Regions from separate parts of the Mus musculus genome. Here regions 2, 3 and 4 are each reported to be linked to region 1. The links are microRNA targets in miRTarBase. Many come from high-throughput screens and were not tested one by one. Region 1 holds a microRNA gene; each other region holds the end of a gene's coding sequence.

The links. The annotated mature microRNA mmu-let-7b-5p reads UGAGGUAGUAGGUUGUGUGGUU and lies in region 1 at 3,266-3,287, opposite strand. An mRNA with a match to its seed (bases 2 to 7 or 8) in the 3' UTR can be bound and repressed. Matches are read on the target gene's strand: a 7mer-m8 pairs with bases 2 to 8, a 7mer-A1 pairs with bases 2 to 7 and ends in A, and an 8mer does both.
Region 2: miRTarBase lists Unc80 as a target of mmu-let-7b-5p. The part of its 3' UTR that is shown has no 7-base or 8-base seed match.
Region 3: miRTarBase lists Cd164 as a target of mmu-let-7b-5p. Seed matches in the 3' UTR shown: 7mer-A1 at 2,532-2,538.
Region 4: miRTarBase lists Flna as a target of mmu-let-7b-5p. The part of its 3' UTR that is shown has no 7-base or 8-base seed match.

Annotation. Positions count from the first base shown.
Region 1 is chr15:85,703,491-85,710,611 of GRCm38, reverse strand. It overlaps Mirlet7b (microRNA let7b), which reads right to left and starts at 3,293; the gene lies at 3,209-3,293. Lncppara (long noncoding RNA near Ppara) reads right to left here and starts at 6,839. Exons shown (of 2, transcript NR_110483.1): 1 at 6,322-6,839; 2 at 3,088-4,058. It overlaps Mirlet7c-2 (microRNA let7c-2), which reads right to left and starts at 4,009; the gene lies at 3,915-4,009. Gm34622 (a long non-coding RNA gene) reads left to right here. Exons shown (of 3, transcript XR_384306.3): 3 at 627-1,741.
Region 2 is chr1:66,694,992-66,702,112 of GRCm38, reverse strand. It overlaps Unc80 (unc-80, NALCN activator), which reads right to left. Exons shown (of 65, transcript NM_001368824.1): 65 at 2,963-6,783. The coding sequence ends at 6,517. It overlaps Rpe (ribulose-5-phosphate-3-epimerase), which reads right to left and starts at 1,282. Exons shown (of 6, transcript NM_025683.3): 1 at 1,085-1,282. The coding sequence starts at 1,206.
Region 3 is chr10:41,527,912-41,535,032 of GRCm38, forward strand. Cd164 (CD164 antigen) reads left to right here. Exons shown (of 6, transcript NM_016898.2): 6 at 761-3,131. The coding sequence ends at 930. Among named protein-coding and RNA genes, the nearest start is that of Cd164, 12 kb to the left of the region's middle.
Region 4 is chrX:74,217,458-74,224,578 of GRCm38, reverse strand. It overlaps Flna (filamin, alpha), which reads left to right. Exons shown (of 46, transcript NM_010227.3): 46 at 602-1,118. The coding sequence ends at 789. Among named protein-coding and RNA genes, the nearest start is that of Flna, 26 kb to the left of the region's middle.

The DNA.
Region 1 (7,121 bases):
AGGGGCATACTGAGAACTGCAGCTTGGCCTCCACATAGGCCTTCCCTGACTTATCCTTGAACCCAAGGATGGCAGAGGCCAGAAGAGCCCCGCCACCCGCCCCCCCCTCCCGCCCCCATCACCACCTGAGTGGAGCAGAGGTTGGGCGGGGCGTGTGATCAGTTTGGTTGCTATGGTCTCCTGCTGCCACACGGTGTCGCTGCTGGGAAGCACACCACCCAGTGGAGGCGGTGGATGGGTCAGGAGCCTGACTGAAACAGGGCTGCCTTCCCAGAGCTGCCTCCAGAAATATTCCCCTGGGCCTAAGCTTGGCTTTTCTACAGCCTTCTGCACACACACACACACACACACACACACACACACACACACACACACACACACACCACAAATCCCCCCTGGTATGTGTCTGTCAGGAGTGGTGTAGGCAGATGTGTACAACCTCACAGGGACTCCTGCTGGGTCACTCTGCACAGGATTGGGTATCTTCCTCTTAGGAAGCAGTGAACGTGTGCCTGGGTTCACTCTATGAAACATAGTATGTATTAATACTGATCATCATACTATATGTAGCATTCATTATATATTACATATCTGATATTTGTGTTCAATTTTCTTTATTTTTAAAGGAAGTAAGGCTGTTTAGGGGCACTGACATCCTCGTGGGTCTCAGCTTCAAGCTGCTGGATATAGTTCTGTGACTCCTGAGACCCCCACCTCCGCCCTCCTGCCAGCTACTGCTGGCTCTGCCACTGCTACGGATGTCACCCCCAGGAGACCCTCTATCTCTGGAGAATCATCCCGGGTGGGGCAAGGATGTGCAAGTCTTGCTTCTGTAAGACTCAGCGAGGCTTCTGCATGCTGCCTGGGTTTCCAGCTGATGTGTGGAGCCCAGTTTCCATGTGTTGGGGCCACCCAAGGTCCAGCCTGCTCTCCTCGCTGGTCTTGAACTACCTTGTCCTCAAAGACACTTATGCACATCGTGATAACAGTCCCAGCCTGCCCGGAGGGTTGTATCCTAGGACCTCCAGCCTGCAGCATCTCCTTGGCTCCTGATTAACAACCCCAGGAGTCACTTCTTAGATTAGCCAGCAGGTGGCAGCAGAAGGCCGGCCAGGGACCAGGACCTTCCTGGGTACTTTCCCTGAGGCACAATCTGGGGTGCCCTTGAATCCTGACTCCACCCTCTAAGTGGAAGTGTTTTGCTTCCTTTGTAGGTTGTGGAAGTGGGGAAGTGAGCACAGGGTCTCCCTGGGCTGAACCACTCCCCTGCACCCCAGAACTTCCACTCTGCTGAATGCTGTGTCGTACCCACCCTGATCCCCACATGCACCCCTATCTCTAGTGACAGTCAGTTGTCAGAGAAGAGCCAACAGAATGTAGAGAGGGGCACAGGACATGTCAGAGGTCATCTTCCAGGAAGCTACCCTGACTGCAGAGCACCTCAGAGCTCTCGGATGCTCCCACGCTACCCCACTGGGTGGTCGCCGTGTGTCCTGTCCTGTGTCCCTAGTACTTGAACTCTGCAGAGCAGAGGCCATCTCCCACTGCAGCATAGGAGCCAGGAGGTGGGTGTGACTGGCCAGCATGTCATTCTGCTTGCACAGACACAGCTGGCTGTGGTAGCCAGAGGGTGGGCCTGTGTGAGGGTGAAGGGTTGGGGGCTGGGCTGTGCAGAAGAGTATGGAAGGTAGGCTGTGTGATGGTTTGTATATGCTTGGTCCAGGGAGTGGCACTATTAGGAGGTGTGGCCTTGTTAGGGGAAGTATGTCATTGTGGATATGGGTTTTAAGACCCTCACTCTAGCTCCCTGGAAGCCAGTCTTCTCCTGTTTGCCTTCGGAACAAGATGTAGAACTCTCAGCTCTTCCTATGTCATGGTATTCTTCTGCCATGATGATAATGGACTGAGCCTCTGAACCTGTAAGCCAGCCCCAATTAAATGTTGTCCTTATAGGAGTTGCCTTGGTCATGGCATCTGCTCACAGCAGTAAAACCTTAACTAATTCAGCAAGGGATGAAGAGTGGGCAAAGCTCTGCACAAGGGAGGGGAGGAAGGACTACTCCTCTAGGGCTGGAGGCATAGCAAGAGTCAACAGACTTCACCACTGACTACAGGATAAAGAGAGGTAAAAAGGTGACAATTTATCATCCACCATCGATGTTCCAAAGGACAGCAGGGAGGAGACAATGGGGCATGCCACGGAGTGTCTGAGTGTCCACTCCTGTGTCTCTAGCTGCCAACTCCTATACAGCCATCAAGACCCAGCTCAGATAGCCCCTACTTTGGGAAGCCATCCCTGTTGCTCTCAGAGAGTACTCAGAGAGTCCCTCTGGGTACTCTCAACCCTGGGGCTAGCACAGTATCAGATCTTTGGAAATGGCTGGCTAAGTTTGAGAGGTCTGGTAGCTGAGGGTGGATATAGAGGGGCTCTAGGGGTGTTTGGTCTGCCTAGGTGCGTCAATGGAGGTGTGTGGATATGCAGAGTTGAGGCAGATTGGGTTCAGGACGGGAGCTGGGACTCGGGGGATTCATTATGGGGAGAAGGCCAGGACATCAGGGTCAAGGTATCCACCCACGAGGGAGGCCTTTGGTGTCTGGTCAGGTAAGACTAGGACTTTACCTTCCTAAGCTAACACTAGCTGAGGGCTGACCCTCACCCCACTACCACCACCTGAATGAAGGCTTGGGGTCCCTGGAAGAAGGGTATATGACCATTTGGCCCAAGATTAGAAAGCTACATCCACAGCCGTCCCAATACTGTCCCAAGGGAGGCAGGCACGAAGGGACAATAGGCCAGGAATTTCTCAGATCTGGTTAGGACCACAGGCTGAGGGACACTGGAAGCCAGTACTGTGCTCTGAGACTTGGAGTCATAGGGTCTGTTGTTCCACTCATGTGGAGGGGCTTGGGTGTCCAGGGCTTGGGCCACTAAGGGGCACATGGAAGATGAGGGGAGGGTACTGTTCACTACCCAGAGCAGCTCTTGCTGGCAATGTTTCATGCATGCAAACGTGTCAATGTGTGGTTGGCGATCTCATGTCCTCTACGGCCAGTCTCCGTATTTCCAAAATGACCAAAGACCAGTTGTAAGTTCATGACAGAACATCCTTTATTTATACCCAGGTCCCACGTCATAGCCCCCACCCAATCTGTGGCTCCATTTAGCTTGCTGAGCGGGGGCCTCCATGTAGCTGTGTCCCTGGGCGCCTCAGGGAAGGCAGTAGGTTGTATAGTTATCTTCGGAGGGGCAACATCACTGCCCTGAAACCACACAACCTACTACCTCACCCTGCGGTGTCCGTGTTCTGGAGGAGGCCCAGCCGCTCCCCACCCACCCTGGCCACAGGCCACTAGAGCCATAGGGCACAGGGCGGGGTGGGGGAGGGGGAAGTGGAGACAGAGGTTCAGTGAGAAAGGCCTGTGCCTACCAAACAGATTGAGGAAGCCTCTGGTGTCTGAACCCATTGCCCCAGGGACAGGGGACAGTGGCCTACACGGTCCATCTGCAGGCTGTACTCATGGGTGTGCTAAGAATGGCTCCTTTTCAATTTCTTCTCGGAAGAGACGCTTGCTCGTCAGAGGCCTGACCCTGCGCTGGAAAGCCTGGGCAACTCTGGAACATAGTTGAAGGTCTAGTCCAGACCCTCTTTTCATGGAGACCTGTGAGCACAGGTCTGATATGGGGCCAGGGGCAGGAAGGCCCCTTCAGTGTGGGCCAGGGAGAGAAGGTGCCCTGAAAATGCTGTCTGTTTTCATCGCTATGCCCCAACCCTTATACAGATGAGTAACAGCCCAGAGAGGTCAAGGGACTATCCAAGGTCTCTGTCAGGCTCTTTTTGCATGGTAGTTATCACCCCCCTGTCCCTCCCTCAGTCTCCCCAGCCAGGGCCGCCGTTGTATCCACTGCAGATATTGCGGCCACTTCAGGAAAGACAGTAGATTGTATAGTTACCGCAGAGCGGGGCAGAGCCCAAAACCATACAACCTACTACCTCACCCCAAAGGCCGTCAGTCAGTCTTGGCGTAGAGCTGGATGTTGTGGCTTCTTGAGGTCCCTCCTAGAGGAAGAAGGAGAGCTGGGGACATGGTGAGCCCCACCCCCCACCCCCGACACAGGCCGCTCAGTGCTGAGGGTATTAATAGACTGGGATTTTCTCAAAATGGGCCAGGGACATTTAAACAAAATCACAGAGAGAGTAAGGGGAGACGGGGAGACGGGGAAACGGGGAGAAGAGAGAGAAAGCACGGGGCACTGAGCACAGGAATGGCCACAATGGGGGAAGGGTGTCATTTGTTAAAGGCCACCAAGGTCCAGGGTGCTTCCAGTGTCCACCTGGCTGAGACCCAGCCTCTGTCCACTCAACTCTAGCGTAGTAGAATCACCAGGACTCCTGCTAAGTAGTAGCCTTGGGCATGTACCCTCTTCCCCTTAGGCAGGAAGAGCCCCCCCCTCGTGGGCTCTGGTTCTGTCCCTCCCTCTTCTCAGGGTGGCCTGAGCTGACCTTGCTGGGGGAGGCTCAAAACAGTCTTTCCTTGTGGGAGGCAGCCTAACTCCCCATGGTGGCCAGCCGGGCGCAAGTGCAGACCCTGGCTGGACACTCATGGCCAGTCTGTCCCTAACGACTAGCACTTCCAGAGGCCAGCAGAGATCGCTGAAGAAACTGAGGCTCAGTCTCTGGTCTCAGGTAGCTCTGCTCTCAGAAGGGAAAAAGACCTGCTTCTTTCAGGCCTCAGACCGGTTTGCCCAGCATGTGGAGGGAAGCCCTGTGCCCAGACCTAGGAAGCCAGGCAGCTTTTGCTCTCTGCATGAGCCCTAGCGTCTACTGTCACGCCTCCTTTCCTCTCTGCCAAGGGTCAAGGGACAAGTCCAAAACTCCTGGGTCAAAATGAAGCCGTTAGGTCTAAGTCCACATTGTGGCCCCAGATCCGGAGTCTATGGGGCAGAGGAGCTTAGGAACAAGGTTCCCAGAGCGCTGGTGTGGCCTGGCCCGTGGTGGGCAGGCCTGTGATGATAGGAAACACTAATCTTCCAAGCCCCAGAAGGAAATCTGAGCCACTGGGGTGCCATCCCCTGCCTCAAGCCTGGACCCTTTCACTAACAGGCAGGTCAAATACCCTCAAGGATGGTCCCTGCAGAGGCAGCAAGGCAGAAGAGGCGTGGGAAGAGAGTGGTGAAGGGCCCCTTTGGTGATCCTATCTATGATGGGTGGCCCAGGTGAGAAGGCTGAGGGGTGTCCCACACTGCTTAGCCTCTCTGTAGGCTTGACTGGCCATGGTTAATCTCGTCGGTTCTTAGGCTGTGCCCGGATGTGGTGGAATAGCTAGAGACCACATTGGTCATCTCCATCTGAGCCCAGCACCTCCCTCCCCCTCTCCGCCCCCAGAAGCACTTTGAAGGAGGAAAGAGGTCAGACATCAACCCCAGGTCTCTCAACACTTCGGGTTCTGCCCTTGGCTGTCAGGATACAAGTACGTGGGCAGGTCTGGCTGGAAGGTCGAGACTGGCCCCTCTGACTCTGGGCACCATCATGCATTTCCGTGGGGTCCTTTTGGCTGGCCCCTGGGGATTCTCAGCCACTCTACTTAGCAGCAGGAGGCCGGTGTATGCCACTGTGTCAGCCCCAAAGCGCCTTTTCTGCACTTGGTGAGCCTCCCTGAATCTGGGCTTCATTGCAACAGAAGCCTTGCAGAGCCCAAGCTATGGTAGAGAAACACCAGGACACAAGCACCCTAGTTCTAGCAAGGACAGTGGGCCACCACGCACTGTGCCTTAGCCCAACACGGGAACAGATGTGCCTCTGTCTCCCTCATCTGGCCTTTCTCTAGGCAAGACCTTCTGGCAGATCCTCCATTGATACCAAGTGGCCTGGCCTGGGGGAAGCAGGATCACACTGGGGGGATTAAGTGATGGTGCCCGGGGTACAGAGAAAAGAGAGGGACCTCATGCTGAGGTCCCCAGAGGTCTCTCAGGGCTCGGTGACCTTGTCCTCAGGTTGGGAGGCTACGTCTCTTCCACTTGGAGCTGGTGATGAATGGAACTGCACCTCTGTTAAGCCATGCCCAGTCTAAGTAGGCCGATACGGGGTCAAAAGTCACCATATCATATCATGGGTAGATGTGTCATCTGGGGTAGATTGCTGGGGGGTGGGGTGGGGCACAATACTGAGGGCAGGGGTTGGGGGGAGCACAAAGCCTCTAGGTAAAGACATCTAAGCTGAGGGCAGGTCCTGGAGCACTGGCAGGGATGTGCCTCTGACCCTAGCCTTCCTTACTCTCAAGTCTCCCTACTTTCCAGAGGAAGGACATTGGGGCCCTACTTACCACAGGGAAGCCATAGGCATGCAGAACTTCCTGCTTGGTTCCACTTCCTGACCACCTTGGGGGTTAGAAACAAAAGCAATGATCATCAACTTCAGAAGGGAGAAAGCCTGGCCCCTGGTGGCCTCCCCTGGCCACTCCTTAAGATCCTATAGCACAATGGCATTTTCATCCAGTCTGCCTTTTGCCTGGTGACACTTTGCATGCAAAGCCTTGGATGGAACGGCCTCTAAGCTCAGCCCTGTGCTGGGCATGTGGGTCAGAGACTATGCTCCAACTTCACCCATGGTGGGCAAGCGTGTTTTTGTGGGTGGCCAGTGGCCCGCGTGCAACTTCCCTAGGACATAGGGCAAATGGGGCTTGAACTCTCCCAAAGAGCAGAGACCCAGAGAAAGGGCTCACTGGACTACAGACTCACACCATGAATCAAGTCACTATCCTACCTCCCTCGGGCCCAAATCATCATGGCAGAGCCATTAGTAAGACAGAAGGAAGGCCAAGCAGGGACATGGGGACAGTGAGGGAGAAGCCTGGCCAGCTGAAGGGCTCTGGAGCTGAGCCTGGGGTACAGAATATGGAGACAAGGATCTGCCCACTTCTGTCCGTCAAGCCGGAGTGCTTTGTTGCAGGCCTTGTTAACACCCCCCTCCCCCAACCACGACTCAAGGATGGGAAGATGAGCCCATTGGCTACTGAGGGTCTGGTGAGGACACACAGGGTGGGAAAGCCCCCTCCCTGACTACCAGCCTCGCATGGGCTCCCAAGACAGCCGAGCTATCTGTCACGCTGACACCCTTTCTCGG
Region 2 (7,121 bases), not on the chromosome of region 1:
TTAAAAAGAATTAGTGTAACTGAGTGTGGGGACCCGTGCCCATAATCCCAGCATTTGGGAAGCTGAGGCAAGATTTTGAGTTTGAGGCCAGTTAAGATTTATACAGACCTTGTCTCAAAAAAACCAGAAAGAACAGCAAAACCTCCAACAAGAAACGAAACTGATGTAAATAACACATATTTGCCAATGTGACTGAGGGCAAACAGATTTTGCTTATTTGAAATAAATTTATTTTTCTATCTCACTCCCAAGGTCTTTTATAATTTTATGTAAACTTTCGGTGGGAAATGCTAGTCAAAAAGCCAAGAAGATTCAAGTTCCAAGTCTGTCACAATCTTCTGTAATCTTGAGCAAGTCCTCCAGCCTCCTTTGGGTCTAGGTTTGTTTCCTCACTTTAGAACCAACTTAGGAAACTTGTACCCTGATTCTGAGCATTATAACTACAGTGCTTAAAAATTACTTACAAAAAAACTGACCTCCCTGAAGAGCAGGGTGCCTGAAGAGAAAATAGACAGGAAAATCAGAATTCGAATGGGTTATTCGATACAACTAACAACTGCAGAGAATCTGTTACACGCCAGGCACTGGACTTGCTCGTTTCAAGTTCCCCAAGACGCGGAAGCGTTCTATGATCAATAATCCTTCCATTTTCCTCACACTGAACCCGAGTCCCAATCAAGGCTGAAGCGGCTTGCCTAAGACAAGTCGGCAAGTGGTCGAACTCCGGAAGCCCATCCAGGTGTCAAGCTGAGGCTGTCTGCCGGCTTTGTCGAGAACTAGTTAGTTATCTGAGTTCGATCGAGCAAGTCGCGCCTGTCCCGTTGGGCCTCAGTTTCTCTACGAGTTCACCAGAGGAAGATCCTGAACACTGGAGGTGGCTCCCGGGTCCTATCACCACAGGTTACGGGGTGGCGGGGAAAGGACCGGGCCCCAAAGTCAGCCAGGGCCGGCTCGGTGCCCTCGGCAGCGCGCTTGGCCAGGCAGCCCGTCGTCGCACAGGGGCGCCGTGCACCCAACAGGCGCTCGCTGAGGTGCAGCGACGCCGACCCGCGCGGCCAGCCCGCCCCGAGCCCCGCGGAGTTACCCGTCCATTACATCCAGGTGCAGGTAGTCGGCCCCCGAGTCCAGCATGCGCAGGCACTCGGCCCCCAGGTTGGCCAGGTCGCTGTTGAGGATGGACGGGCCGATCTTGCAGCCCGACGCCATGGTGCCGGTTCCCTAGAGCGAGTGAGCCCACGAGAGCCCGGGCCAGCCAAGACTCCGTCCCGATTGGGCGCGCCGCACTGGCTCCGCCCCCTCCCACCTCGCACTCTCTTCCGGACTCTGCCGGAAGCAGCTGCCCTGCGGCGAGGAAGTCCCGCCTCCTCCTGGGGGGGGGGCGTCAGCTGGCTGGCTAGGGGCGGAGCCAGGTGCAGAGCTTCTGCCTTCTGTCTTGGATTTCCAAGGATCTTCTGGCTTCTTTTCCTTTTGAAAGGGAAAATAGTTTATTGAGTACAATGTAAGAAGTTCTACGGGTTGATCAGCTAGACTACCACCTACAATGTAGGAAATTTGTTTTTATTTTTTTCTCTGTTTCATACACGTATAGCATATATTGTGATCATATTCAACCCCATTACCCTTTCTTACCCCAGCCACTCCTCCTGACCCCTTCTTCCCAATTAACTCCTCTCCTACTTAAATAACTTCACCTCACGTGTCTGTAGGTTTTGTGCAGGGAGCCACAGTTGCTTATGCAATCATTAATTGCAGCATTCCGTTGAACTTCCCCCACCCTCTGTCTCTTACAGTCCTCTCTTCTGAGATGTTCCTTAGTCAAGCTGCTGATAACTGGTGACTGCTGAGTACTCAGTGTAGGAATTTTTGCAGTAGCTGAAAGTATAACGTAAAAACAAAATTCTAGGCCTTTAGGCCCAGGCATGGGAATGTGACCTCTGTGACTTAATGATGCTAATCATAAAACAGATAGCGACATTCCTCCACCCACCCGCTTCCTGGGTTCAAAGAGTGTTCATTCAAAGAAAGTCACCCTGACCATTGCTATGCAAATGTGCTATTGTTAGGGGCTCTTAGAAACTGTCTTGAGAGATAACTGGAACAATTACCAGGTATTCCTTGTGACTCTTGTGACTTTGCACTTCCTTGGGACTCTTAACTGGTATCTTTGGTATTTTCCAACAAAGCCCTCCCCACTTCCTTGAGTTGTGGTTTCTTCCTTTAAATACCTCCTTACCCAGCTAATCGGTGTGCCACAGACCTCTACCCCTGCGTGGTGTATGACCGTGGGCCCGAGAGCCCTCTTGAATAAGTTTGCAGTAAGACCGTTTCTTGTGTGATTTGGGGTGTCGCCTCTCCTGAGTCAGAACGTGGGGGAGTCCTCACGTTGTGGGTCTTTCATAGCCAGTCTGATAGAGTTGCTATCCAGCCATAATTCTTGAAATGGATAAGTGGCGTAATGTCAAACGTATCCAGAGTCTGGGCCAGGAAAAAATGAAAAGGTACATGAAGATACACGTGGATAGAACAAGAGCAATTCCTAAAGAACAAGGATAGGGCTCTCATAGTTTTATTAAAAGCATGCTGGTAATTTAGATGCCATGGTTTCTGCAGGGGACACAGTTAGAAGACAATAGTCTTTAATATTCTGACTTGGGGATATACCAGCATTCCGGGTCATAATCCGGGCAGTGAAGTCAATTTGGCTTGCTGTCTTCCATATCTACATTTTGCTTTATTTTGAAAGATAGAAGATGAGAAACAGAAGTAGGTAGGTATCAAATATGGCGGTAGAGGGACTGGGGGTGTTTACCCATTAGTGACTTTAAGCTAAAAATGGCTTTAGGCTTCCACTTTAGAGTGGAAGTCTGAAGAACAAGAGATGAAGGAAGGCACAGACCAGGTCTTGAAAAATGATCCTGAATGAGCTATCCCATTCCCAATGGAAAGAAGTGAAATTAGAGCACATTAAATGATCTTAGATTTATTTTATTATATGTGCATATTCAAACACAGAAATCATTAGCTTTCATAAATATCTTTCATAAACATCTCAGTATTTATTCAGATGCATTTTCCATGCTCTTTGGTCATTCAGTATTCATAACAGACTTTATAGTCATCTGAAGGAAGTTGGCTGTGTAGTCAATCCTTTGTCTTCACCTACAAAATGGCTAATAAAGGACTTTAATCCCATGGTCACAGTGACTATTAAAAATATCATGGAGGTACGTAGATTTATGATCCTAAATGATCTTTAAATAATATAAGTAAATTTATCATAAACTTTTCCAAATACATTCTGCCCTCTATTTGTGTTTATTCTCCTGAGTGTCAGATCAAAGTTTGCTTCTAAAATGCTGCAGTTGAGACCCACAAAAATAAATGAGGAAGTGGGCTAGTTTACTCACTGCTGAGACACAAGGCCATGGATTGGTAGTGTGAGGTCACAGAGTGAAAGTGGGACTCTATGTGACAGCAGCAAATTCGGGAAAGTTCTCTGGTAAAGTATCCTGTGTAACTCAAGGAAGGTACTTAGTTCATGTTTTGGACTATAATTCTATTCATTTATGACCTTTTCTTCCCTATGGATCTCAGTACACACTCAATTATTTCCTCGGAAACTCTAGGAGTGGGCAGCAAAGTGGAGAAAGTTCTTCACTGACTAAAAGAACAGATGCTAAAAGAGAGATGCCATCCTGGCTTAAGTTACTCTTGGAGGCTTGAAGCAGAAAACCAACAGATGCCTCCAGCACTGCCATGTGCCCAGTGGTACCCCTTGACAGTGTTGTTCTCAGTGACTTGTTCCAACGCACTCAGTAACTCACTTCCCTTGTCATAAGAATCAAATAATCTAATAGAATTATAGAAAACACTGAATGCTGCGAATGAAAGAAAAATGTCTATTCTAGAAAATTCTGCATCCAGGATTTAAGCTGCTTTAATCTGGATAGTACACATGGGTACTCACTATCATGGATGATGTATTTTTATTTCTCAAGGTTTCTCTATAAAGTTGCTTTCCAAAGGAGCAATTTTAATTGGATGTAATTGTTTAATACCTGGAAAGTGGGTGCCTGTTTTATCCTTCCTCTGAATGAGATAAATATTATTAAGCATCACAGATTAAGATATAATCTAATTTTACTAATATATTGATCAAAAGTGATAATTAGTTCTTGTCACATTTTTGAATATTACAAAAGATTGTCAATTAACTTGAACTTTTATCTTAACTGTTTTCTTTAAGTTATTCCTTCAAACTCCAGGTAACAGTATTCCTGAGAATACATCTTGTGACAGTCTTATGCACATACATATACTTTAGTTACCACACATAAACATTCAACACGTTTAAGGACACAATAAATGGAATAGATGAGAAATCTCAAAAGTCCCAAGACGAGAGCACTCCCACTCTGTAAGTCCCCATTTCTCAGAGTGGTCATGTCTTTTCTTTTTTCCAAGATAAAACATTACTTAGCTTACTGAAAAAGTTAATAATAGACTTCCATACACGAGAGTGAAGGAGTCAGATTAAAAGGCAGACAGACCAATAAAATCATTTCTCAAACAGCCCAACACACTTAAAATATATAAAGGTATTTAGGGTTATTATTGAGTATTTAACAATTCTTTGACCTCTATACTTCTTAAATATCTGACACAATTATAGAGATTTTGAATCACAAGTCCAAAAGAGGGAACAAAGCACAGACATATAAACGCACACAACTCAGACACTTGTAATTACCAAACATAAGGCCTCTAATGCTAGTTGAGCAGCATAGTTTTTAACAGGCAAAATATATCAGCTTAGAACCAGAAAACCACTTACATGTCCACTTTTGCACTTAGAAATGAACTGCACATTAAGTATAAATGATGTGAAGGTGTTATAACACAGAGAAGGTTTGTTTGTCTCCTGGATTTCCCATGCATGTTCTCAGCCAAAAGGCCAAGAAGGTGGTTCTGCCCTGATTTTCTGACCTGGGGGATTTTAAATTTTATCCTAGTTAACTTATAGGTTACCTTTCATTCTCATGGTGAATGGGATCATAGCCCCAAAATATATTTGATTTTATAAGTCACTGTGCTCATTTAATAAATAATTCTAACATAAAAATCGTTTCCTTTATTATTTGTATGGGTTTATAGGTATTTTCTTTATAGTATACATTTTATAGCCAACATAGTCAATATTTAAGCATATAGAATATATTTTAAACTCATCTCAACATAATCAAAATCTCTGTTTAACTTCTACATGAAGACTAACACACACACACACACACACATCGATGTAGGTATGTTATGAGATTTTTTTCAGGGTTTAGTAGTTACATTTCTCTAATGTAAACTGCTAAACTTTTGAAAAATGTTTATGAACTGCATGATGTCCAGCCCTTCAATAATCGACTAAGTACTGGCCTGACAAGCCTTTCAAATTTTATTCTTTTTTTTTTTGAAGTAACTGCACTTTAAGTTAAAGCCCTATTTGTAATATATACAAGCTGTCTGAGTCTATAAAGAAATTGATTACTCTGACTTTCCTTCATTAACTGTGATCTCCTAAGGATCATAGAATATTTGACAACTGAGAAAAAGTTAATTTCTGATCTAGTTCTAACAATTTAACTTTAATGTATGAAAATACGCCCTCAGGGGCAGGCACAAGGACAGCAAGGGAAAGCAATCCTCTTTCCCAATAGGTCCTAATCCGAACGGTGATGTCATCATGGGTAGAATTAGGAATGCCATCTCTTTCAAGCAAAGCTATTTACATTTAGCTTTTTCATAATTGTATAGCTGTCTATGTTATTAATTCAGAATCATATCTGAGATTCTAGATATTCTCTGTCTAATACAGTAGATATGAAATGGAATGATATGTGGCATTAGAATTTTGATTTATAGGATGTAGTGAAAGGACAGTTAAAAAATAAATTTTGAAAAGTCCACGGCTCTAAAAATAGTACGTTTTTTTTTTAAATAACCAGCTATATTATTGACCCAAACAAAAATGGCTGCAGGGTTTATAGTTTAGTTTCTAATTATTTTTCTTGCTGGTTGTTTATATGTAAATTTCTATGTATATAGCCACCTAATGTAAAATTTTGAAACTACAAAAATAAACATTGTTGTGAGATGTATAATGTGAGTATCTTAAGAGACTGTATTCCCTTTTAGAACTTATCAGTATTATGAGGGCAGTAATATTAAATATTCTTAACTGTCTGTAGTAGTATATTCTTAGCTGCTCAAAGCAAGCTATACACAGTGTGCAGTGAGACGGCTCTTCCCTTTGTTCTTCCCTGTTACAGTCTTCACACAACTAAAGACTTTTAGCTATTGATTTTTAAGATGTTTTTGAAACATTAGGAGTTTTGGCAGCAAAATACACTCAGACTTAATGCCACCCACAGGCTATAAAGTGCTGTTTTAGAATTAATAATTTTCATCAGAAGCATTCTATCGTCAGCAGTCTTCTGTAGAGTGCAGAGCTCCTGTGATACAGAACTAAACGTGGGACTCATCTAGTGCTGAGTCTGTGTCTCCCAGCTCGGGAGGAGTGAAAGTGAACTGGCTGGACAGCAGGGGATTCTCCGTGCCGTTCTCCTCACTGATATGAAGGACAGTGTCTCCATGCTGTAGGAGGCTGGATGTTTCAAGGCCAGTGAAGTCATCCGGGTCTGACAGTTGAGTGGAGAGGGGGCAGTGAGCTGTGGCACCTTGTATTTCTTCGTCCTCCTTTTTCTCTCCTTCTTCAGCAAGAAGGGGCTCACTCTGTGATCAAAAGGATCATAATATCATGGACAAGTAGGATGGGTACCAGAAAAGAACATAAAAACTTCTGCATGGCTCTAACTGGACAAGAAATCAAAGGTGAATTTCAGGCTATGTCATAGGCTTTCAAAGCATTGGTTTTCTACCCTTTGACATAGTGTTTGGGGTTTTTTTTGGGGGTGGGGTGGGGGGAGGAAACATGCTTATAGACTATAAAAATGAACCAATTCAAGTGATGTGTTACACTTCTTTTAACTATAAAAGACTATGCAAATGTGTATATTAATATTACCATTTAGGTTTTAAAAATAGTGCATCAGAATATGATACTTATGGAA
Region 3 (7,121 bases), not on the chromosome of region 1:
AATTCACCTGCCTCTGCCTCCCGAGTGCTGGGATTAAAGGCGTGCGTCACCACGCCCAGCGACTCGGATCTAGTTTAACAGTGAAGTGTACTTTATTTAAATGTTGAACACAGTCATAGCCTTTTTGTTTCCTATTGAAACATATTACTCCCTTAGTAACGTTAGTTTCCATGGTCTTCTGATTGATTAAACTGACATTACTTTTAGCTTCTTATGAGTTGTTTGTAGGAATTCTAGTTTTCAAATTTGTTTTTCTTATGGCTATATAATGCTTTCTCATGATGCAAAATAAACTAGCAGAATGCTATTGAATATATTTACAACTATGTGTTATTTTGTTTTTTGAAATTATAGATTATTATTTTTGTTGTTAACTTGAAAAACAGCAACTCAATTTTTAAATACCTTGTCTATCTAGTAAAACCAAAAAGTTTTAACAAGCATTTATTTTAACAATTAACCAAAGTAGATTAACAAAATTATCGCATGTTTTAGAAGTATTTGATAAGTTTTCAAGGGGACAGTTTATATGCCATAAAAGCTCTTACCTATTTGAAACTTTGTAGCAGTATTACCCTTATCATGTCCTGGACAGAATGATGGATGGCATTCTGCCTTAAGTGGAGATAAATTCTAGTTATGAAGACATGACTCAGGAAGACCTGTATAGAATATAACTCGGAGCACAGTTGATGCCTGGGGGGTCTGGGAATTATAAATACCATGATACTTACTGAGGATTCTTTGTTTATCATCATAGCAGGGACAACAAATACCACACTGACTCCAACCTCCCAGCCTGAGCGGAAGTCGACCTTTGATGCAGCCAGCTTCATTGGAGGGATCGTCCTTGTCTTGGGTGTGCAGGCTGTAATTTTCTTTCTCTATAAGTTCTGCAAATCTAAAGAACGAAATTACCATACTCTGTAAACAGACCTGTTAAATTAATGTGGACTGGCAGTTAACTTGTGCAACTCACTGAAACCAAAATATTGAAGAAGTCCCACATGGAAGACGCTGTTCCAGGATCTTTACCTTTCCAAAGGATGCATACAGGATATTTTGGAGCATCATCCTCGAAGAAAAGTCAGTTAAACCATTTAGTTCATCAGGAATATTTAAAATATTCTGCATGAATCCGTGTGGCTGTCGTCTTTGTTTACCATGGCTGCTGCTGTGGGACTGTTTTTTCCTCTGACATGCCAAATGTAACTTCTGTAAGTGGTGGAGAGTGCTGTCCTGTGTAGGCAGCTTCTGACTGCAGTTGAAATGTAGTCCCCTAGAATCCTAAAGGCTGTTATTCTCATCCTAGTTCCAGGTGTAACTTGGTGGCCAGAATTGAGAAGAGTGCCAAATGACCACCCGTCAGGCAGATTGAGGGCCATCACTTCAAACATAGATTAAATTTGTTTAGCACTAAACTATCCCTAGAGTAAATTTTTATGCTTGACAAGTTGTATTTTATATATTAGAAATAAGATGCCACACAGGGCAATCCAGATTTAGATTAAAGAAAGGATACACAGACATTAATCTGCAACAGGTCTTGTTCATACTCATAAAGTGTACCGTATTAAGAAATCAGAACAGTGCCTTAAGACAGACTGAGACGTCGTGAAAAATGTGTTCACACTGTGGGAGGCAAAGCTTGGTCTGAGAATGTAACTGTTGATGTGAGCAGCAGAAATCTGCTTATAGATAACATACTGTTAATATTTAATTAAAAGCATTGTTTTTTCTAGAGCTGAGAAATAGAAGCTAAAGAATAATTAGAGCTGAAAGGCTTCCTTATATCAAACCATCTAACATTTTTCTTAGGGCTGTTAAACTAGACATAAAATTGATTTATCTTTCTCTCTGTACACAAAGTATCCAAATATTATACCTTAAGGATTCCTACCAGGTTTTCTTGAAAAGTGGCTTTTACATGAGGCAAGAAGGAAGTAGTTGTAGATAGAATCATTTTCTAGTTCTTTAAATGAGACAATCACTTTGTTTTCTAATAGATGTGACCTGTGTAACTTAAAAAATCTGAGGGTTTGAGAGAGGTTGCTCTAGATTTCCAATGACGATACCCTGGCTGAATAGGCTTTTCTCTTCCTTGGGCCTTTACTTCTTTTCTTCCTCCTTGGTTTCAGTTCCCATGTGCTATCATTATAATCATGCAGACTTTTACTTCAGTTGCTTCTGAAAGCACTAAGTTTTCAGTTTTGGAGTTACTTCTCCCTTGCCTCTGACACACTGCACACGTCTAGAGGCTGTAATTGGAAATAGGCTTTTGGTTTCCTGTGCCATTCAAGTTTGGGGCTTTCATTTGGTTACAGAGTTCAGCGCTTGGTTCCCAGGGTTTATATACGAAACAGCGGATTGCTGTGGGCTGGTTCATAAAGTGAAACTAATGAATCTATCTCTTTGTCACTTGCTGGTACAGCTAGTTTGTTTCACTTGCACATTTGTACATATATCTAATGTTTTCAAGTGCCTTACTTGTTTAAACTCTGACTTCAAAGGTTTTTGGGGAAAGATAGGTTTACCTCACAGTTATGTTTCCATTGTAATTTCTAGGTTCCTCACAAAAATCTATTTCAGTGCTGTAGCTGTTAGTTTTAAGTGAGTGCTAAAGTTCTTTTAAAAGTACACAGAATTTCCATTCCTTATAAAGGTGGCAAAATTGGTTTGTCATTTACCTCCATGTGACTCCTTGCCCCATATAAATGTCAGCATATGTAGCAAGTTTTCTAAGAATGTAACTTAATTTGAAGCTCCTGAAATTTTGAGCACTGCTCTAACATTGTAGGAAGTTAGTGACATTTTGCAAGTCTCTACAAAAGCTCTTGCCACAGAATTCACTGCTGCCCTGACTCTTCACCATCTTTCTTTAGCAAGGTATTTTGAGCCATTAATGATTTTGGGTTTTTTAATCCAGAAGGTATATAAAAGCCTTTTCAGAGTTTTCATCTGATTTGTCCTGAGGATCTAGTTCTATCAAATACCTTATTTTACCTTTGCCATACTTGCTGCACAAGCAGACACTGCTGGACTTAGAAGTTTCTATTTGAGTTCCTTAAACTACAAAACTAATATGTATGTGTACCAAACTGATTTAAAATAAATGTTTATTAGTCTCTTGATCAAAAGTGTCATATTTTGATTATGAAATTAACATTGTGTTTGCCTTACCTGTCCATTTGAGGCTGGGTTGTCCATTGTTTCTTTTGTTCCTGTAGACTGGTATATAGATGGGAACTAATGGCTGTGAATTAGTGGAGAACAGAACCATGGGAATGATTGATGGTTGGGCTGATGGAAGGGGCATGCGTCTAGCTCACATTAACCAAGAGAGAGTGAGTGAGAGAGTGTGTCACAGGACTACTTTTGTGGAGCCTGTTGTTCTTTCAACTTTGTGGGTCCCAAGGATTGAACACAGGTTGTTGGACAAGTACCCTTTTCCACTGAGCCATCTTGCCAGCTACATCCTACCCTTTAGTTCTGAGTACATAGGGAGTAAAACTTTGCTTCTGATTAGCGTGTCATGTGCTGCTGTGGAGTCTGGTTCTGTTGGACCGTGTGCAGGAACATCTATATTTGATTACTTGAGTTACACTAAAGTTGTTCACTGCTCCCCTGCAAGTCTGGATGAAAGGTTGGATTCACTGCTTTGCCTCTTGTTCCCTGTTAGCCTTATCATTTGGCAATTACATAAAACTTTATAGCAAGCTTCCTAAGACATTGACATAGGTTATTGAGTAAATAGTAGAGGGTGGGATAGGTTTTGTGTGTTCTCCCCATTCTGTGTACTTGCTGTAGGTAGCCCTTGGGTACTTGTTTTTCAAAGGGTATGTATTGGCACTTTCTAATTCACTAGTGTTTGGTTTTTTGTTAGTGTGTCTGTTGGTAAATCCAGCTTTTGTATATCTTGCCTCCTGACTTCAATTGTATTTTGTTTTCAGTGCAAAAACCATTGTATTCATGATACATCATTGGTAGTAAATCACTTTTTTTTAAAAGAATTTTGAATGTGGAATCTAAGGTTTTTTGTTTGTTTGTTTATTTTTTGTCATACATATCTATAAACTTTAGCCCATTGTTTCAGTTGTGTTCTATAACAAGTCTGTTAGCATCTCTGGTTCTGTACGTGTTTTCTTCTGTTACTGATTTTAAGCAAATTGACTATTATGGGCTGTGTTGTAGTTTTCCTTGTTTTTTGGGTTTTTTGTTTTGTTTGTGTTTGTTTATAGATCTATTAAGGTGTTGTATCTCTGACTTTCATATTTGGAAGATTTCCAACTTTCAGTGGTAGGTCTACACCCTCTGCCTTGATGGAGATTATAGTTTTATAGAGATTGCTAGAAATTGATTCATAGTCCCATTGGGGCTTTATATGAAATTAATTAAAATTCCCCCCTTTGAATTCTATCGTGTTTTCTGGTATGTCTGTAGTTGATGTAATATGTTGGTGTGTTTCTCTACATAGTTGTTTTGTAGTTGTGTGTGAATGCTTGGTTTTATTATAGTAATTTTTAATGTCTCCATAGCATTGCTATTCCAACATTTAGCATTTACTTTCCATTGAATTTTTTACCCACACTATAGGATGGTTTGGATGCATGCTTGGTAAATTCTTACTGGATGACAGATACAAGTTTGGGAGGTACAGGTTGGTCTTGTATTCCTGTTCTTACTGCTTTTCTGAAGCGTGTTAAGTGTCGCTTCAGCTTCTGGTCTATTGCAATGGGAACTTCAGCAGCTTCCTGCATCTCTTGATTGTCTCCTCTGCCTCTTGAATTCTGCAAGTACTCTGATTTCTGTCTGGGCTCCCCAGCAATTAAGGACAGGGGGCTGGATCTTGTTTTGCCTATTACCTCATATATTAAATGTTGTTGCAGGTCATCTAAAGGGAATACAAGTTTATTCTAGAGCCATTTTGAGTGACCATGGCTGGGAAACAACAGATTTAGGTTACCCCAAATTCCATGGTCCAACATGGAAGCTGTTTGAGAATTTTTGCAGAATAAAGAAACTGGTACTGAAGGCAAGTTTAAAATGCAGTATGGTGGGTATATTAGAACAGTGGTTACAGTGAGATGGGGACGCTTTTGTATAGGTCCAAGATGCTATTTGATGACGTTCTTAGTTTGTAGATGCCAAAAGGTTTTTACTAGTCACGGGGATGTTCTAACACAGCATGGAATGGCTGTTACAGGTGTAGAGCTAGCCCAACATGGGTAGGTAGCTTCTGACCCTGCAGCAGCCTTCTCCACAGTCCCCAGTCCTCTACAGATGGAGCTGCTTCCAGGAACTCACTGAGACTCGTGAGTTGGTTCCTTAGGAGCTTCCCTGTAGCACAGTGGTTCCCTAGTTCAACCCTTCATACAGTTCCTGACACCCAACCATAATAAAATGTTATTGCTACTTTATAAATATAGTTGTGCTACTGTTAGGGATCATAATGCAAATATCTCATTGGCAGGGTATCTGATACGTGACTCCTGTGAAAGGGTCATTTGACTCCCAAAGGGGTTGCAACCCATAGGTTGAGAACTGCTGCTCTAGGATGAAACAAGTTGGAACTTCTTGTGTCTTAGGGAGGCTCATTCTACCAATGGGGTGTTTTAACTCAGGAAATGGCTGTATAATGGAGTCTTGTCCTACTTAAACTGTCAACTTGACACAGCCTAGAGTCACCTGAGAAGGGAGTCTCAATTGAGAGAATGTCTAAATTGATATAGAAGGTCCCAGTCCACTATGGGCAGCACCATTCTCTGGGCAGATGGCCCTGGCTATATAAGAAAGCTAAGTAATCATGAACCTGAGAACAAGCCAGCAAGCAATATTCTTCCATGGCTTATGCATCAGGTTCATGCCTTTATTTTTTCTTAATGATGGGACATGACCTGGAAGTTGTAAGTCAAATCCTCTCTCCCAAATTGCCTTTTTGAATTTAATCTCAGTAACAGGAAAATAGAGCAGGTCTCTGCTGCAACTTAATCTTCTTTACAGTTTCACACAGTGGCTTCTCAGTCTCTTTGCTGGTAATCTGGCCTTCACATGCATTGCCTGGCCTCCATGGCTTCCTTGGACGTTGGATGGGCCTTCATGACCATAGAACTTGCATTTTGCTTGTCTGCAAAACCAGTGCTATGTAGAGAGTGCTACTAAGTTCTGCTCTAGCTTGAGATCGAGTCTGTCCCCTTTCTACCACAGCTCAAACCTCAATCTAAGTTACCTTCCAGCAGGGAACTCCTTTAGCAGCATTCTCACATCAAGTTCTCTCCCTTCAGATGAATTTGCATTTTCACAAAGTAGAGTCATCATGGGAGAGGGGGGGGTGTGTGTGTCTTGCTTTCAGAGCTCCATTCCTGTTGTCCCAGTTCAGAACATGAGATTTCTCTTGCAGCACTAATCTCTTAAGGGCATTATAGCTGCTCTCTTTGTACCAAACTTGTTTGCGTCTTTAATTTGGTCACATACCTTTTCTTGACAAACTATATTTTTTTTATATTCTGCTCATTCTCACTGTAGAAAGAGTAGTAAGCAGGAGTCATTTGACAGCCTAGGTGTTAAGGTGTTTTGAAATTCCCACTGCTAAACAGCTTGTAGTGGTTTGAATGAGAGTGGCCCTCATAGACTCACTCATACATGTTTGGTTCCCAGTTGGTGATTAGGAGGTGTGGCCTTGTTGAAGGAGGTAGGCTTTGAGATTTCAAAGGCCTACATTAGGCCAAGGCCTTTTCTCTTTCTCTGACTGTTGGTTGTGGATCAGATGTAAGCCCTCAGCTACTGCTCCAGCACCGTACCTGCTTGCCTGCTGCCATGCTCCCGCCAACATGATGATAATAGACTCCCCCTCTGAAACTGTAAGCAATATCCCAGTTAAGTGCTTGCTTTTATAAGCTGCCTCGGTCATGGTGTCTCTTCACAGCAAACAGATCAAGAACTAGGATAACTTACTTCATTACCTTTTAACTCAGCCTCATTCTTCAGTTCTTCAGCAGCCAGATTCTCTGCCAGAATGGTAACATGAATGACTTCTAGCTCAGTTGCCAGTAGAGTCCTTATTACCCTCTGAAACCTCGTGAGCCCAGGCATTACTGTAGTCATTTGCAGTGGCATTCTGGTCT
Region 4 (7,121 bases), not on the chromosome of region 1:
GGCTGCTGAAAAGGTGGCTCAGCAGTTTTCAGAGGACTGGGGTTCAAGTCACAGCACCCACATGGCAGCTCACAACTGTCTGTAATTCCAGTTTCATGGGATCTGTTGTAGAAATTATTTAATCCCTACTGTTTTACCCAGGGTTTCTACCCCACCTTAGATTAGTTCTCAGATTAAAAACACACATGATCTTTATATTTACAGTAAGCCTTAAACAATACAAGAGCTTGGCAGATACTACTCTCTATGTTGTTAGAATTTATTTTCCTATGGATAACCCCAAGTTATTACTTACTATGTTTCATTTGGGTTGCTCTTAACTCCAATTGGGCAGCTCTCAGGGCCCTTGACTCCAGCTCATGGTGGCTTCTCCTTCCTCCTCTATTTTCTTACACAGATATACATGCAGGCAAAACACCAATGTCCTGGAGGAGCTGTAATTTATCCTCTGGTGGTCTGGGTGGCAAGGCTGGGGTATGAGATGCTTGCTTGGGAATGTTAATAATCAGGCAAGGAACAGAATGTGGAATAGTGAGAAGGGCTCAGAGCAATTATAGACAAAGAAAGGATCTAAGGCCACTGAGACCTATTCCTGCCTTAGGTAACAACATGCTGCTGGTGGGCGTGCATGGCCCAAGGACACCCTGTGAAGAGATCCTGGTGAAACACATGGGCAGCCGCCTCTATAGTGTCTCTTACCTGCTCAAGGACAAAGGGGAGTACACACTGGTGGTCAAGTGGGGTGATGAGCATATCCCAGGCAGCCCATACCGCATTATGGTACCCTGAGCCTGCCACCTAAGTTGGCACCTGTGCCAGCTAGAAGCTCCCATGGCAATGAGCATCCCCACACCTGTCCTATTCCCAAGAAGCCCCATTTTCCTTTCCTGAGCCCTGGACCCTCCCTTCCCTGGATCACTCTGGCCGCTCTTCACTGCATTCGCCCTTGCCCTGCACTGTGTTCACCTGTCTCTGGGCTTTCACTTGGGCAGAGGGAGCCATTTGGTGGCAGAGCATGTCTTCTTTGGTTCTGGGAGGTGGAAGTCCTATGTACAACCACCTTCTAGTTCTCTTTCCCAGCCAAGAGGAATAAAATTTTGCTTCCGTTGTCCTGTGAATGTAGCTTTCATGGAAGGAGTAATGGAAGGCCAAACTAGCAAGGGCACCAACAAGGCAAAAAACATAGGCCATGGGACCTCTGAGTAGCACAGTTTGTACTTGATCTTTTGCTTCACAGAGGGGGATATACGGTGTGCCTAGAATGGCATATGGGATCAAGCAGTCAAAATGTAGGGCATGAAGATTCGTTGCTAGCTTGTTGGTGATCCCTAATAGTGAACAGTCTTTGAAATAGCATCAGGGCATAGCCATTTCTTACATATCATGAACATGATACCAGCGCTTTTATTTATTTTAGGTTTTTTTTTTCCAGACAGGGTCTCATTATGTAGCCTTGAATAGACTGGAACTCATTGGGTAGGTCAAGCTGGCCTCAAACTCACAGAGGTGGTCTCTGCCTCCCAAGTGCTGGGATTAAAGGGTGAACCACCATGCCTGGCTTGCTATGAACCCTTTAAATAAGACACCATTACAAATTCCCCTTCCCACAACAGGGTAGATATCTTGTCTATCAGTGAAGGGGGTGGTGGTACCCACTCTTGAGGTAAGCACACTACTCTGGTCCTAGGTATTCTTAATGGACCTATCTCTATCTTTAAATGGGACTTGTCATTGCGCCTCCTTGCTATAAGTAAGTACAGTGGATCAATAACTCCTTTCTGCACCATTAGGTCCTTTAGAGGCAAAATTAATGTCCTAAGGCCCAGCTCCCAATGAAACCTGCAAATGGCTAGGATATCTCCTTGAAACTGATCAAGCCATAGGCATGTCTCTTAGGTTCAGTGCCATGACTTAACTCATCTGTAGGTGAGGGCCAGGAAGGGTCATAATCTTCTCTCAGCTCCTAGTACTTGATTACTTGCCATGGCCTATGCTGAAATTCTGCCAGGTAAGACTTCAAAGGACTTTGCCAAAGCTTAGGCATTTAAGAACACAAGGGAGAAAGGACTGTATTACTGAGCTAATAGTTCAGTCCCATGACTCTGGAAGATTCTGCAACCTGCAACACTGGTACCAGGTAGAAACAGATATACATTGGATCTTCACTTTGTGAATCTGCCAGTCACATAAGGAAGACACTGGCGAGGAGACCGGCAGAGGCAACTAGATAAAAGTCCTTCCCTTAGTCCATTGGTATTATTGTTGTTCAACAGCCAGGATAGAGAGGAGGGGCCAACACTCTGGGAGCCTTCAGAAGCTGCCCACCTGCACAGGGGACAAAAGGTAGCAAAGGCAAGTCCAAAGAGGCACAGCTCTAACAGAGGAGGAATGAGACAGCTTCCCCTTCTACATAGCTAGGATTCTGCACCCTGGACACCCATGCCCTGAAATCACCCAGAGCCTCTTACCCAGTCCTGGCACCAGTTCTGCCTACACAGGCTCCCCTTCACATCCTCTTCTCAAGCCAATGCCTGGCAAAGTTACTCAGGGGAGTCACTGTCCAAGGCTGAGTTGGGTTAAGCAGGGGTCCCTGTCTCCTTGCCTCTAAATCCTATACAGGGTGCTAAGACACCTGGGCTGTAGGGGTGGTGGTGAGCAGAAGACGTCTGACTGCGGATGGGACAGGCTTCTGAGTATACCCGGTCAGAGGCTCCAGGCAGTGAACTGGAAGATATATGGCCAGGGAGGCAAAAGGAAAAGAGATGGGTGCCCCATACTGGTCAGGAGCCAGGCATATGACACCCACAAGTATGCCTACCATCCCAAATGGGTCCTTTAAAAAGAATGAGCTATTTTATGTGTATAAGTATCTGCCTGCATATGTCTGTGCACCACATCCATGCCTGGTGCCTACAGAAGCCTGAATGGGGCATTGGCTCTCCTGGGTCTGGGTTGTGAGCCACCATAATATGGATGCTGGGTATCAATCAATTCTGGGTCTTGTGGAAGAGAAGCAAGTGCTCTCAAACACTGAGCCATCTCTCTAGCCCCACTTATTCCATTCTGGAAAAGACCCAGCCATACAGGAAATACAGGAGGTTTTGGAGGCTACCAGGAAGAAGCAGGCCAGGTGCATCTTTGTGACCTCCTCAGCTGACTGCCCAGCCAGGCCACATGGCCTAGAATCTGCAGTGGGGTGGAAATGTGCAACCACAAGTGATGCTATGCCCTGGCTCTGTTGGCCAACAGGCACCAGAAGCCTAGGTCACAGAAGTCAAGGTCACGTGGCTAAATGCCCTCCATAGCCTGTCCTCCCACCCAGTGAGACCAAGAAGGGAAATGGGTTTGTTAACTCCAGCTGGAAGCAGGGCCCAGAGACTGCAAGTTCAGGCCGGACTCAGGGCAGGGCAAAGCAGGGGTTGAGGTGTACTTCTTTGGGCTACTTTATTAGGTTTTTATATTTACCACCCTTCCAGCCCCCCAGTACTAGATGGGAGAGAAAGAGGGTTAGAGGGGAAAGAGGGCATAGACATCTTCAGACTACTTCCTGCTGATTATGAGTGTCAGGCTCCTTGGGGCAAGCCAATGCTAGCTATGTAGAAGGGGAAGCTGTCTCATTAGGGTATCTCCAACCAGCAATCCAGCAATCCATAGCAGCAGCCATAGCCATAGATAGCCATAGCAATAGAAAAAGCAGCAGCAGCAGCAGCAGCAGCAGCAGCAGCAGCAGCAGCAGCAGCAGCAGCAGCAGCACGGGGAGCGCGGCAGCCACCACAACCTGCTTGGGGCTCTTGCACTTATACCCTCTCAAGAGTCTTCAGAGTCCCAAGCATATACTATATATACTATCTTCAAAAATCATGCCCCTCCTAGAGCACAAGACAATTCTAGTTAGTAGCTGTGGGCAATTCTAAGCAGCCCCCTATCCTATACCTGGGATTAAAGCAAAACCATATCGGTTGATATCCGCAAAGGGGATAACATTTGAAGTGTAAATAAATAAAATATCCAATAAAAACAAAACCAAACCATATTCGCATAACATAACTGGGGTTTTAAAGAAATGAAAATTCTCACTACAAGGGGGCAGGCCCAGCTGACCATTTCTCCTCCCTTAGTCAGCCTGACAGCCCAGCACTCTGCTCAAAACCCCACCCACTCCCATAAGGAAAGGGGGACAATGCCTTCAGCAGAGCTCCCTGAAGCAGTGGGGTCACAGCGTTTAAACCCTACCAGGAACTGACCAGTAGCCCCTTGGGCTTCTAGAGGGCTGGCCCAGGCCAAGGCTGGGAATAGAACAGAGGGGATAAGCAGCAGGTGATTTGGGAAATAGCCCATAGAGGCCACAGACATCTGGGGGTGGGGGTAAGGGCTATAGAAGTCAGTGGAGGAACAAATGTCCAGGTACATGCCTGGCAACTGGGGCCTGAAGGAGAGGAAAGAAGACTCAGCTGGGTGGCAGGAGGGGAATCAACCAGGGTCCCAAGACTGGAAGGTGAAGGAAGAGGACACCAGTTTGAGTCATGGTGCCTGCTAAGGATTACCAGAGACAAGGCAGTGTAGGCCAGTGTCCTCCATGGTTGCCTCCTGGTCCTCCCAAATAGAGCCAGTATGTTCTTTCTCCACAACACCCAGATCAGAGCAGATCCCCAGGCCCAGCTGACATAGTGAGAAAATAACTCTTTTGGGGACCTTCAGGGCCTAATTACCTCTCAGAATGAGTTTTGTGGGGAAAGAGAATCAGCAGACCTGCATCTACAAGGTTGCCAGTGCCTTGGCCCTTGAGAAAGGTTTCGCCAGGGAAGGAATTAACACCTCCCAAAAGGTTAAGAACACCGCCTGCGACTCAGAAGGCATTGCCAAACGTGACCGACCCCGCCCTGCTTTTACCTCGGAGGCTGAGCTCTACAAAGGAATTTCTCCACTTTTCTCTGAGGCTGACTAGCTCCACCAATAAGAAACCAAGTCCGCCACGGAAGTCCTGCCACCCTCCCACGACGGATGCCTTTTCTGCCCAATTAACTGTCCCATTGCTTGTCCTGGCCACTGCTGTCTTCGTATCGGGAGGTTTTAGTCCTCAGATGTGGCTTTCTGCACTTCTGAATGTTGGGAACAAAGAAAAGGAACTTATTCAAGTACTACCATTTCATTTTCAGATTCCATTTAATCATAGGGAGAAACTAAACTCAAGGTCCCAGGCCCTATGAGAGCTAGGAACTTCCCAATAGTTGAACAACTTCTCTTGTAAGAAAACAGTTATCTGAGTCCAGACATCTCAAGGACGACTTCTCTATCTTGCTGTCAGAACCATACTAAATTCATGTTCTTAGGCCAAGGAACCAACTACTATCCTGATTGATGGAAACTCTCTTGTTCAACCCTTATGTCAAAATATTACTGAACAATGCCACCCCTCACCACACCCACTCTTAATGGTTTCATCTTTAAAATAGGCCATGCAACGTTCAGCTCCCAAGTCTGGTGTTTGAGTTATGTTGCATTTAAATAGACCCCATAACATGAGGCTTCAGTATATTCCATCCATTCCCTCTCCCCTCTTTTTAGTGCTGGGATGCTTGCAAGAATGCTGCTTATATCCCCTGCTAATAACAAAACAATCCAGATGGTGGTGGTGCACACCTTTAATACCAGCACTAAGAAAGCAGAGTCAAGCAGATATGCCAAGGTTACACAGAGAAACCCTGTCTCGAAAAACAAAACAAAACACCCAACTCCCAAACAACAACAACCCGCTCAATCCTCCTTTTACCGCCTGCATTCTTAGATGTCATTTACTTCAGGAAGGTCTCACACTTGTGTTCCTTTGCCTCAGCCACTCACATAGCTATGATTACATGTACAAACCACAGATTTACTGGAAGTTGCCCAGAGGCATCCAAGAGGCCTGTGGCTCTTTCTGGCATTGGCTTCACTCTGGGCTGGGCTTCTTGGCTGACCTCAGTGTGGCTATCAGACTCTAAGGACTGGGGATGTACTCAATCAGTGTTAGAGTACTGGCCTAGTATTAACAGTGTCTTGGTTGAAAAACCAAGACCAAAACCAAAAACGGTGTCTTGGGTTCCATACCCAGCTGTTAAAAATAACAGCTCCTTGAACTCTTAAATGTTTGTGCTTGTGTTGTGCCTACAAAGTATCTAAGTGCTTGTGTTGGGCCTACTTACCACATGGGTCTTTTTCACTACCCCAGCTAGGACATAGGCCTCCTTAGCTGAAGGATCCCTCCTGTTGACTCTAGACTATCATCAACAACTATAGTCCTATAGACTCTGCCTCTTCCTGACAACCCATGTCAATGTGTGTAAACTACTTCCTGTTCAGGGTTTTGAGTTTAGTCACTGGAAGAGTGTTGCCATCAGTGTACCCATGTAGCCTACAACCCTCAACAGGAGTCTTGTTTTTGTTCAATTTGATGCTTTCAAGAGACCACTGTTGCTTTTATCAATAATTTTCCCTTTCGATGCTGTACAATAATTCACATTTGGGTGAACCACAGTTTGAGCAGTTAAAGGGCCAGAGTTTTGTTTTTCAATTTTTTTGGAGACAAGATATCAACTATCCAAGTCTGGTCTGGAACTCACTATAGAGTTGAATATGGTCGTGAACATCTGACCCTTCTTCATCCACTTCTGGAGTGCTGGAATTATAGGCATTTGCCCTGCCACCATGCCCAATTTATGCAGGGCCAGGGATTGAGCTCAGGGTTTCATGCATGTTAGGCAAGTACTCTATTAACTAAAACTACATCCTTAAACCTTCATTTCAACTTTTTTTTTTTTTCGAGACAGGGTTTCTCTGTGTAGCCCTGGCTGTCCTGGAACTTACTCTGTAGACCAGGCTGGCTTCGAACTCAGAAATCCACCTGTCTCTGCCTCTCGAGTGCTGGGATTAAAGGTGTGCGCCACCATGCCCGGTTCATTTCAACTTTTAAACTACACAAGAATTCAGGGTTAAACATTCACCTATATGTTTTTGCAGAGTCATAGTTCCATTTCTTCCTTATAGTGGTTGCTAGTTCATGTGGGAGTGGATGTGTGAGTCTAGTGGAAATTATCAAGCTGCCTTCCAGCATGCATATTTTTAGAGCAAGTCATTGAAAAAAT